3 linked regions of the Caenorhabditis elegans genome follow. The protein of the gene in region 3 interacts with the protein of the main gene of each other region in a pairwise test. Each region holds a gene or a part of one and is shown on either strand. Other genes may lie near its edges.

Region 1 (3,755 bases), on a different chromosome or scaffold from region 3:
GGATAAAGGCGAATGATTTGCGACCAATTGAGTTTTCAGGAAGGAAGCGATCCGGGTCGAATACATCAGGATCCTTCCATTGAGCAGGATCACGGTGAACAAGGTACAGGTTGAGAAGAAAAGTGACTCCTTTTGGAATATTAACACCTCCAATGACTTGATCATCACTCAGTTCTCTTGTAATAATTGGAACAGATGGAAAGAGACGCAGAGCTTCTTTTAGTGCACATTCGAGATATTTCATTCTGGAGAGATGTTCAATAGTCACGTCCTCATCGTCGCCCATTACTTCATCCAGTTCCGCTTGAACTTTTCTCTGAACTTCAGGATGATTTCCCAGAAGATGAATTGCCCACATTAATCCTGTAGATGTTGTATCGTGACCCTCAAACATAAATGTGTCAACTTCTGCTTGAACATCTGTTTCGTCCATTTGTCCACTTTTCACCATTTCGAGAAGAAGATCCAAAAATGCGAGACGACCTTCCATCTTATAATCATTCTCCTGTAGAGCTTCCTTTCTCTCGACAATCACTTTCTTTGTGAAATCATGGAGAATACGAAGACATTTTTCATGAGTCCGTCCGTCCTCTGTTCTGAAAATTACAAATTAATTCACCTTATTAATGATAAAACTACCGTACAAATTATAAATAAATGAATTCCACATCAACGGATTATTTGTTCTTTTTGAAATCAGTTTATTGATTGTGTGCACCGCCCATACATACTCGTTATTCTGAAAAAGTATTTAGAAATTTTGAGATTCGAGTTGTTTACCCAACCTCCGCGAGTTGAGCACCAATAGCTTTCCCCATAGAGGTTTCGCAAATGATGTCAAGAGTGCAAAGGGTTATAACGGAGAGAACATCAACTTCTTCACTGAAAAGAAACATTTGAACGAGTTATCAATTAAAATTCTTACTCTGCTCCGAGGCAACACAATTTCTGAACCAAAATCTTTGATTGCTCGTTAAAAATCGGCAAAAAATCCTTGAGAATATCATAATGGAATGTTGGTGTCAATAGTTTTCGTTTTGGACGCCATTGTTCCTTTTGGCTCGTCAAAATACTGATTCCAAGCCATGGCTCGAGCAAAACGTATGCGAACCCTTTGTTCAGATGTTTCGTCGATGAGAAAATTGGTTCAACAAGATCGGCAGAGTAGAGCATCAGACATGGAAATGGGCCAATCCAGAGAAGACACATCCGTGGATCTGGATACAAATATCCCATTCCAATCACTTGGTTCATGAATCCCTCTGGATCGGGCTTGGTGATGAGTCCGTGACCAACGATTGGATATGATCGTGGCTGATTGAGGTGCTGGAAATTTATTTGAGTTATCTTTGAATGCATTTTGCAATCTGACCTTCAAAACTTGACGCATTCTCAAATGTTTGTAGAGAAGCCAAGCGATCACAGTCGCCATAGCGAGAAGTACAGCGGGGATGATGACCCCCATTGCAAAACCTTCTGAAATAATTTATTTGTGCGAAGAAACGAGCAAAACGCGTTTAAAACATGAGAAAAAGCGTTTGTTAAGCTTTGGTTCTAAAAAAAGAAAAAAAACGAACAGTTTTTGAATCAACATTCAAATTTCACGCATGTCGTAGTGAGACCCATCTGAAAATCGCCATGCGCCTTTAAAGAGTACGGTAGGCTCAAAAAAATTCTAAAACTGATTTTTGTTGTTTTCTGATATATCATGATATTTAAATCTTGATTTAATGATTAAAAACTTTCAATCGCGTTAATTTTTCAACAAAAAAAAAAGAAAACAAATCCAAAATTATTTTTCAATAAGTATTGTACTTTTTATGAATGCATCGCCTATTTGACCTATTCGATCTCCCCCGCGAAAAGTCAGCGCAACAATTGTGTTATTTTAGGCCCAACGAAAATTTTTGATTGTGAACATTCTTCTACTTTGCTGATGTTCAGAGAGCCGTAATGAAATTTCATAAATATTGTTTTATCGGTGAAGCATTATTAATCTGTTAATCACTTGAGTACATTGTTTTTTTTAAAGTTTTATCTTTAATTTTTGCTTCGAATTCTTATTTTTCCATTAATTTTTCAAACCAACGTTTTTTAGAATGTCAGCTCCGTCCCGTACCGTTCTTCGCGAATTGACGGCGACCAAATACGTGGCCAACTACACCGATGAATATCAATTGGAAACCGCTCGAGCCGGTTGCTCAGCCCTCCCACCACAACCCAACATCAATCATGATGCAATTATCGAAGGGCATGGAGAAGACGTGGAGCTCGTCGAGGATAAGAACTACCGTTCCCTGCATCGTATCGATGAAACTCCAAAGCTCGTCGACAAGAAGCCGAGCAAGGCAATCATCCGCGATGAAGCTGTCAAAGTGCTAAGAGACATTCAAACAATGCCGATTGAAAATCTCCGTCTCAAGCGCTACGACTTCTTCTCGCAAAGATGGTTCAACACGACCAGAGAATCGGAGAAAGCGCTTGTCGAGCACGTGCTCCTTCATCCGAACCAGCGACCACACTATTTCGCCGCTCAGTGCCGCATGCTTTCGGCCGAAGATATCTCCAGTCTGATTCTAGTTAGTTTCTTGAGTATATTTTTCCCAAAAAAATTTTTTTATTTCAGACTTCCCTCCTGGCCGAGCCGAAAGAGACGGGTCAAAATGTGGTTCGATTTGCGATCCAGGCAAAGACTGCAATGCCGTTCCAGCAATTGTTTGCAATTCTCGAAAAACTGGAGATGGAAATCGAAGGCTTCCAGATGACAGACAGCTTTGTGGTGGCAACATTGATCCGATCACAGAGCAAGAGTGTACGTAAAATAGTTTTCTATTTCACACCGATAACTTTTCATATTTCAGACTACCACTCGTCGCCTGCGAACAACAAACTGCCGGGAATACGGAAATCTCGAGCCAGGACTCGATTCACAAGGCCGACTGATGGCCTCGACTGCATCAATCACGTGTTCGATTCGAGGAAAGCGCCACGTGGAAACGAGGATCGTGTACAATAACAACTCGAGCGCCAGGGATCCTTTCCGGAGATATAGAGTGAGTTGAATAGCAATAATTTATCGGTTTCCAATTTATAACGTTTTCAGTACATCGAATTGGAGCAAACGGTGAAGTGCATGAACCGACGAGTGCAGATTGTCGAAGAGCCAGTCGAATTTCATGAATTCGAGGTCGAAAACGATATGGTCTCGTTGAGAAATGGAATGGTGCTTGTCGACGACCTAATCTCGTTCCTCGAAACATTCGAACTGGATGAAGAGTGAATTCATTTGTCCAATAATTAGTTATAATGTGCATAAGTTTTTGTATATATCTATCTGAATAACTAAGTGGTTCCTGTTAAATATATCAACTAACTTTCCCCTATTTTATTTTCCATTCCTCCAACTCACCATGACCCTCGAATATTTTGTTTATGTTCAACATGTATATTGCTTGAATTAACTTTACCAAATCATGAACTGGTTGATTTAAAAAATCTTTTTAACATGACTCTGAAAAATTTTTCAAATTAAATTCTTCTGATAAGCTGATAATTTTCTGGTTTCAGATATCAAAATTTTTATACAGCCGGGTACAATGATTTACGATATGGAAGATGCCTCCAGCCTAAAAAGATGAATTCGAAATTAGAATTAATGAACGCAAATTTCTGAAAACGCTGGCAATTCCAGCTTGCGACATGCAACTTTTCGATACTTGAGGCTTGATAGGCAATTGGCCACATTACATAGTGAT
Region 2 (3,755 bases), on a different chromosome or scaffold from region 3:
ACTTCCTGGCAGGAAGTTCCTGCCCCCACCTGTTCTCCATGAGCACTGACCGCTCTTTCTCCGGTTGATGCATGTCGATTTCTACTGCGACCATGCCGATCGTCGAGAAGAAGCTCCTCTTTCAAAAGTGTCACCAAATTGGCTTCTGTGAATTCTGGATGTTTTGTATTAATGTAAGCAAGTTCAATGGCTACAAGATTCTCGACAAGCTCATTGGTGGGCTTCAGCCTCTCTTTCAGAACTCCACTAACGACCTCATTGATTTTATCGTACAATCTTGGGAAACGAATCATCTCCTGTTGAGTAGTGAATCCGCAATGCTGAACCATTCGTTGCATTTCTTCGTGTACCAGCTCAACGCATCTCAACGATGGCTCCTCCAATCGTTGAATTTGTCGCTTGACAAGCAATTCAAATGAGACTTCTGGTACGAAAAGAGCTGGCCTTGGTCCTGTCGCGTTTCTAATCGCAGTCAAAATATCCAATTGTGTGAGGTTTTCCAATGGATTGACAGATTCCAAAGATCTTCCGAAGGTATCGTGGAAAATGTAGCATATACGAGCACCTCCGCATAGCTCAGTTGTTTCAATATTGCGGGCAGTTCCTTCGATAGTTGATGTATAAGCAGTTGCGAATCGAGTTATGATTTGAAGAAGTGTTCTGTTCTTATCTTCAACTGGTTCACCGAATGCAACAAGATCCGATTGGCATTGGGCGTTCATGATAGACACGCGGGCTTTCAGTGCAGGAAGACAGTTGCGAATATGGTGCATGAGAAGCTGAAATTAATTTCTAAATAATTTTTTATTTATTGAAATTCTTACCATATTCAATCTCTTTGCCAAATAAGGAGTTCCATTTCTGCTAGCTAATGTTGGATATTTCTTTTGCATAAAGCTTTGCTCATCTTTCACTGCATCCACGATCAGTTTGTTGTCGAGAATATTCTGTTGAGATCGATTAACGACTCCAATAATTCCCAACTTTACTGGAATCACTTTCCCCATTAATACGTCCATCGCATCAGTTCCTTGATCCATCAAATCCAATTTCGTGAGAACTGCGAGAGTTCTTTGTCCACCTGCGTCCACTTCTCTAGCTAACTTGATAGGCTCCGAAGTAGCGAAATCCTGGTTCGCTGGAGTTACAGCCAGAATGATAGAAGAAGGATTTGAAATGTAGAGAAGAATCATTTCACGGATTTGCTCTTCAATATTGACTGGTTGATCACCAACTGGGATCTTTGTGATGCCGGGAAGATCGACCAGGGAGAGGGAGACAACTCTGTGGGAATAAATTTTCAAACTGATTGGAAGAAGAGAGATTCCTTTATTCACTCCAGTTACACGATCAGTTTCATCTTCGATTTCTTTTCGCACGGCATCGAAGTCTGGAAAATTGTTTAAATTTCTCGCAATATTCAAATTACTAAATTCTCACCTGTGAAAACCTTAGAGCCAGTATGTTCGAACATTGCCCAATCATCTGTGAGAAGTGTTCCATTTGACCGTCTTCTTTTGGATTCATCATCGAGAGCAACGTGATTTAACTGAAGAATCAATGGCCTGCGAGTGACAATTCCAGTACCACGCGGCAGAAAATCCCGACCGACTAGATTTTCGAGCACTGAAGACTTTCCGGCCGACTGTGATCCGACGACTACAATCTGTGGAAGTTGAATTTGATCTTCTTTCCTGCCTAACGTTGCGAAAACATCCTGTAGTTTATTGACGACAGGAATGAGATTTTCCATCTGTAAAATTTAAAATTTTTGAATCGAAATGAGAGTATCATTTATATAAAGAGTTTTACGAGGAGAAGAGTAAAAATGACGAGGCAGTTGCGAAATGATGTTTGAAATGAGAAAGAACAACTGCCAGTGATCACAAAGTGAAAAACAATGCATTTGAACACACCAGTGATAACAAGTGATAAAATGTGCGCAAATAGAAATTCAGATAGTCTACTTGGCCTTCGATTGACTGTGAACGCCAACTTTTATATCATCTTTTCGATCCTGCCACTTACTCATTTTTCCCTGGGAAAATGTCAACCATGGGAGTTCCTATACAATTTTGCATCATTCTGCGTAGTTTGTTTCAAACAATGATACAAACAGTAACGATCTTTGAGATTTTTACGGAAAAATTGATAAAATTGAGGCAAAAGTTGACAAAACCGACGGGAAAATCTCTGATATCCGATATTTCCGCCGCGGCGCTGAACTCAAAATTTCGAGCACTCCGCAATAATCCTCACGTCAGATTGCAGACCGTGCACCCTATCCGACGACAAATCACGAGGAGTATTTTCTTTTCTTTTTCTTCTCGAATTTCTGCAATTTCTATTAAAATTCCGCCAGTTTTTTTTTGGAAAAATTGGCGGTATGACACCAAATGGACATCATTTTCGAACAGTAATTTATAATGCTGCGGCGGTTGGAAATTTGCAGAGAATTAAAGTAAGCAAAAAGCTCAAGTTAAAGAAAAGTTGTCAAAATAAATGAATTTCCAGGTTTTCACAATAAATTCAAGAAACGATCGACAATGGATAATTGATTGCTTCAATTCTGATCAAGACGGACGATATCCACTTGTGATTGCTGCAAGAAATGGACACGCAAATGTCGTCGAATATTTGGTGGGAAAAATGAAAATTAATTAATTAAATGAGAAGATTTTCAGCTAGAAATTGGAGCCGATCCATCTGTTCGTGGTGTTGTGGAATTTGACAACGAAAACATTCGTAAGTTTTTATTTCTGTTCTGAAAAGAAAATAAAACAATAGTTTTCAGAAGGAACACCTCCTTTGTGGGCTGCCTCCGCTGCTGGACACATTGAAGTGAAAAATATTTCATTATTTAATGCAATAATGTTTTATTTCGATTTCAGATCGTAAAGCTCTTGATCGAAAAGGCAAATGCAGATGTAAATCAAGCAACTAACACAAGAAGTACTCCATTAAGAGGTGCATGTTACGATGGACACTTGGATATTGGTAATTCCTTGAAGTCGAAGAAGCTTTTTTAAAAATAAGATTTTCAGTGAAATATTTACTCGAAAAAGGTGCAGATCCACATATACCGAATCGTCATGGTCATACGTGCCTGATGATTGCATCCTACAGAAATAAAGTATGATTTTGAAATTTTTAATTAACAAAATATGAGAAAAACTAAAATTTTGTAGGTTGGAATTGTGGAAGAGCTCCTAAAAACCGGAATCGATGTGAACAAGAAAACCGAGAGAGGAAATACGGCTCTTCATGACGCTGCAGAAAGTGGAAATGTGGAAGTTGTGAAAATTCTTCTGAAACACGGATCGGTCCTCATGAAAGACATACAAGGAGTTGATCCATTGATGGGTGCAGCACTTTCCGGTTTTCTGGATGTTCTGAATGTTCTTGCTGATCAAATGCCATCTGGAATTCATAAAAGAGATGCGTTGAAGCTGTTGGGAAGTACGCTACTTGATAAGAAAATGGATGCAATGTCGGCGATGAATTGTTGGAAACAATCAATGGAAGTTCCACTTCATGCAGATGATCTTCGATTGGTTAGTTCTAAATTTAATTGTTCTATTTAAAAAAATAATAATTTAGGTGCGTGAAATGGAGACATTCTTCGAGCCCCAAGAAGTGTACGAATATCAACGTGAAGCTCAGAATATTGCACAAGTAGAGCTTCTCGATGGAAATATCGAAGCTCAGAGAATGCAGGTTCGTTTAAGTTTTCAAAAAAAAATGCTTTAAAAGTT
Region 3 (3,755 bases):
ATGTTTACACGAAGTTCGAGATATCCTTTTTTGAAGCAGCAACAGCCAAGGTTCTCGCTAGCCTGGTCGTTGATTTGGGTGAGTGCATGGGGGATCACATTGAGGTCGATCAGTGGGGAAACTGAAAATGTTTGAATTTTTGGCTTAGGCTTAGGCTTAGAATGTTAGTCTTAGACTTAGACCGTTAGGCTTAGGCTTAGGCGTAAGCTTCGGCTTAGGCCTAGGCTTATGCTTTGGCTTAGGCTTAGGCTTAGACAGTGGTCTAGATTTAGGCTTAGGCCTATGCTTAGGCTTAGGATCAAGGGTGTTCGTTTTTCGATTTTTTTGAAAATCGAAAAATGTTTAAAAAATTATCGTTTTTCTGATTTTGCGAAAATTTTTTAGATTTTCCAAAATATTAGCACAATATTTTGGCCATTATTCTTATTTTTAGAATTAATTTTGATGTTTTTTTCTCATCAATATAAGCAAAATTAGATTTTAAAAAAAATCATATTTTATGGTTAATTTTCTTAACATTCTTTTCGATTTTTCAATTTTCACTGAAAAAACATCGAAAAATCGAAAAATGCCACTCCTGCTTAGGATTAGTCTTAGACTTAGGCTTATGTTTAGATTGTTAGGTTTAGGCTTAGGCTTCAGCTGCGTAGGCTCAGGCTTAGGTTCAGGCTTAGATTGTCAGGCTTAGGCTTAAAACTGTAGCCCTTACCAGTGATGCATCGCTTCTTTGCCTTATCCAATCTCCATGGCCGATCCACTTCAGCTGTCACCGAGTATCTCAAATATCCATATTTTCCCTCAAAGCTTGGCGGAACGTTGAGAGGAAGATTATAAGAAAATGACCAGGCGTATTCTCCAGCTGCTAACTCGTTCTGACAAATATTCAGATATCTAATAATTGTAATTTTCAACCATTCTTCATTTTGAGCTACCGAAAATTTCAGCAAATCGGAAAATTGCCGGTTTGTTGACTTTGCCGGAAATTTGAAAAAACGGCATATTGCCGACTTAGCCGGAAATTTAAAAAAAAAACAGCAATTTGCAGAAAATTTGGAAAACGGCAATTGCCGAATATGCCGGAAATTTGAAAAAACGGCAATTTGTTGACTTTGCCGGAAATTCGAACAACGACAATTTGCCGACTTTGCCGGAAATTTAAAAAAAAAACAGCAATTTGCCGAAAATTTGGAAAACGGCAATTGCCGAACTTGATGTAAATATGAAAAAACGACAATATGCCGAATTAGCCGGAAACTTGAAAAACGGCAATATGCCATCTTTGCCGGAAATTTGGAAAGCGGCAGATTGTCAATTTGCCGGTTTGCCGATTTTGCCGGTTTGCCTATCTATCCCTGATTCAAAATACCCTACCGATCCATCTTTGCAAGCCCACAGAAGCAATGTATAATCCAGGTAGTTCACATTCGCAGAGTAGTGCACAGATTGCCGGTGGTGGCTCACTTTTCCGTCGGCGTCACTGGAAAATTCGAATTTTATAATTTTTTAGTGTTATTCGAAAATTCGGAAATATTTATTGATTATTCAATTTTCCATTTTAAAAAATTTGAAAAATAGCTTTTTCGTCAAAAAAAAAATGAAATTTTCTACAGAAATCTTAAATTTCTTACACTCTGCGAACACTCTCATAATCCGTCCAACTGGTGTGAGCCAATCCCAAAATTTTGATATTCACCGCCCGAGCCTTGTATTTTTCCTTCGTCGTTGAGAGCACCACTCGGCCGGAAATCGGTTGTCCCGGGAAGAAAACTTCGTTAGGCTGGTCGAATATCACGTGAAGCTCCGTTTCTGGCATGATAACCCTGGAACTTAGACAAAAATCGTTAAAAAATCGTTAAAAAATTCAAAAAACCGGAAGAAAATCGGTGGAGAGAACACTGAAAATTTAAAAAAAAACGAATTTTTGATTTTTAATATTTTATTTTAAAAAAATAGAAAAAAATTATGCATTTTAATTGAAAAGGAAAGGAAAAAAACAATTTAATTTAATTCAAAAAAAAGGAGCGAAATAAATTTTGCAGAAATTGTCATAAAATGTGGTGTTTGCGTACTTGAGAAGGAGTGTGCGCCTTTAAAGAGTACTGTAGTTTCAAAATTTCTTTTTTAATTGATTTTAGTTTTCAATAACTAATAAACACATTTTCGATAAAAAAAATGTATTAATTTATGGAAAACATGAATATAGCAAAAAAAACTCTCAAATATAAAAATAAAACTATGAAAAATCCATAGAAATTTGAAATCGCTGCAGCAACAAAAGTTTGAAATTACAGTACGCTTTAAAGGCGAACGCCTTTTCCTTTCTATCAAGAATTTGTCGTGTTGAGACCGGTGTTTGGTATTTGTGGCTCAAAAATCGCGAAATCTCGTGTCTGGGTAATAGAATAAATTTTAAAAGTTCAAATTAAAAAAAAATTAATAACTGATTCTAATTTCTTAAACGATTTTTTACTAGATTTTTTTTTACAATTTCATGAAAATTACGGAATAGCCGCTCGAAACAAAGCAAACAGACACATGCAGTATTGAAGGTCAAAAAAATCGCACTCCGCAAGAGCCGCAGAGAAATAAAGGGAACAGCGAGGATAAAAGAACGGGGCAAAGACCAACGTTTTTCCATTAAACTTGTGAAAAAGAAACGTTGCTCACAAACAGGAAGAATTGATAAGCTAAACGGAAGAAGACATAGGAGAAGCATTACTGATTAAATAGGAAATAGTGATAAAATTTCTGACATTCGGGAAAGTTAATTTGTAAGGTCAAACAACGGAGAAAAATATGCTAGAAATGGCCGAACCCGGGGTGGGCGGCAAACGATTTTTCCGGCAAATCGGCAAATTGCCGGAATTGAAAAAAAAATCCGGCAAATAGGGGAACCGGCAAACTGCCGATTTGCCGAAATTTTAGGAAAATCGGCAAATTGTCGGAATTGAAATTTCCGGCAAATCGGGAAATTGCCGGAATTGAAAAAAAAAATCCGGCAAATAGGGGAACCGGCAAACTGCCGATTTGCCGAAATTTTAGGAAAATCGGCAAATTGTCGGAATTAATAATTTCCGGCAAATCGGCAAATTGCCGGTATTTGAATTTTCGGCTAAGCGGCACATTGCCGGAATTAAAAATATCCGTCAAATTGGCTAATTGCCATAATTGAAATTTCCGGCAAATCAGGAAATCGGCAAATTGCAAATTTTGAAAAAAAAAAGGAAAAATTGAAAATATCCGGCAAATCGGGGAACCGGCGAATTGACGATTTGCCGAAATTTTAGGAAAATCGGCAACTTGCCAAAAATGAAAAATCCCGGCAAATCGGCACATTGCCGGAATTTAAAATTTGTCGGAAAAACGACAATTTGTCGGAATTGAAATTTCCGGCAAATGGGCAAATTGGCAAAAAAGGTCAAACAATGGAGAAAAATAGCTTTAAAACATGCTAAAAATAAAAAAAATTCATTAATTTCATCGTCCGTTTTTATAGGACCAGTTTTTTTTTAAATAGAATTTCAAAACCCAGCCTATTATATATTTGTTAGGAATAAATGCAAAATCGGGGTGACTAACACACACTACTCAGAAAAATATTTCCTCAGACAAAACTGTTAAGTAAAAAAAAAACTAAAGAACTAAAAAAAAAAAAAAAAAAAACTAAACTCTAGCCTAAATCCCTGAAACCTCAATTCCTATTGTTAATTTCTTGTTAGTTACACTATTTTAGAAGGTATTGAACAAAAAATGTG

The links.
Region 1: the proteins of arrd-13 (region 3) and memi-3 interact in a two-hybrid assay, tested with the Caenorhabditis elegans proteins (one study listed by BioGRID).
Region 2: the proteins of arrd-13 (region 3) and drp-1 interact in a two-hybrid assay, tested with the Caenorhabditis elegans proteins (2 studies listed by BioGRID).

The regions. Positions count from the first base shown.
Region 1 is NC_003282.8:11,401,682-11,405,436, reverse strand, and holds memi-3 (MEiosis-to-MItosis transition associated), read left to right. Parts: upstream 1-2,098; 5' UTR 2,099-2,099; coding exon 2,100-2,579; intron 2,580-2,626; coding exon 2,627-2,812; intron 2,813-2,861; coding exon 2,862-3,053; intron 3,054-3,103; coding exon 3,104-3,280; 3' UTR 3,281-3,492; downstream 3,493-3,755. Other genes in the region: cyp-31A2 (CYtochrome P450 family), read right to left, coding at 1-596, 645-739, 786-882, 926-1,326, 1,373-1,465.
Region 2 is NC_003282.8:5,536,488-5,540,242, reverse strand, and holds the start of drp-1 (Dynamin-1-like protein drp-1), read right to left. Parts: upstream 1,756-3,755; 5' UTR 1,754-1,755; coding exon 1,441-1,753; intron 1,391-1,440; coding exon 825-1,390; intron 780-824; coding exon 30-779; intron 1-29. Other genes in the region: Sex-determining protein fem-1, read left to right, coding at 2,387-2,461, 2,515-2,640, 2,685-2,745, 2,795-2,841, 2,892-2,997, 3,045-3,133, 3,189-3,554, 3,601-3,717. UniProt on the Caenorhabditis elegans protein: Functions in mitochondrial division. Functions in peroxisomal division. Mediates membrane fission, perhaps mainly of the mitochondrial outer membrane. Mitochondrial fission may be promoted by recruitment to mitochondrial membranes via the egl-1/ced-9 complex.
Region 3 is NC_003280.10:13,756,479-13,760,233, reverse strand, and holds the start of arrd-13 (Arrestin C-terminal-like domain-containing protein), read right to left. Parts: upstream 1,827-3,755; 5' UTR 1,814-1,826; coding exon 1,629-1,813; intron 1,478-1,628; coding exon 1,372-1,477; intron 873-1,371; coding exon 710-872; intron 122-709; coding exon 1-121.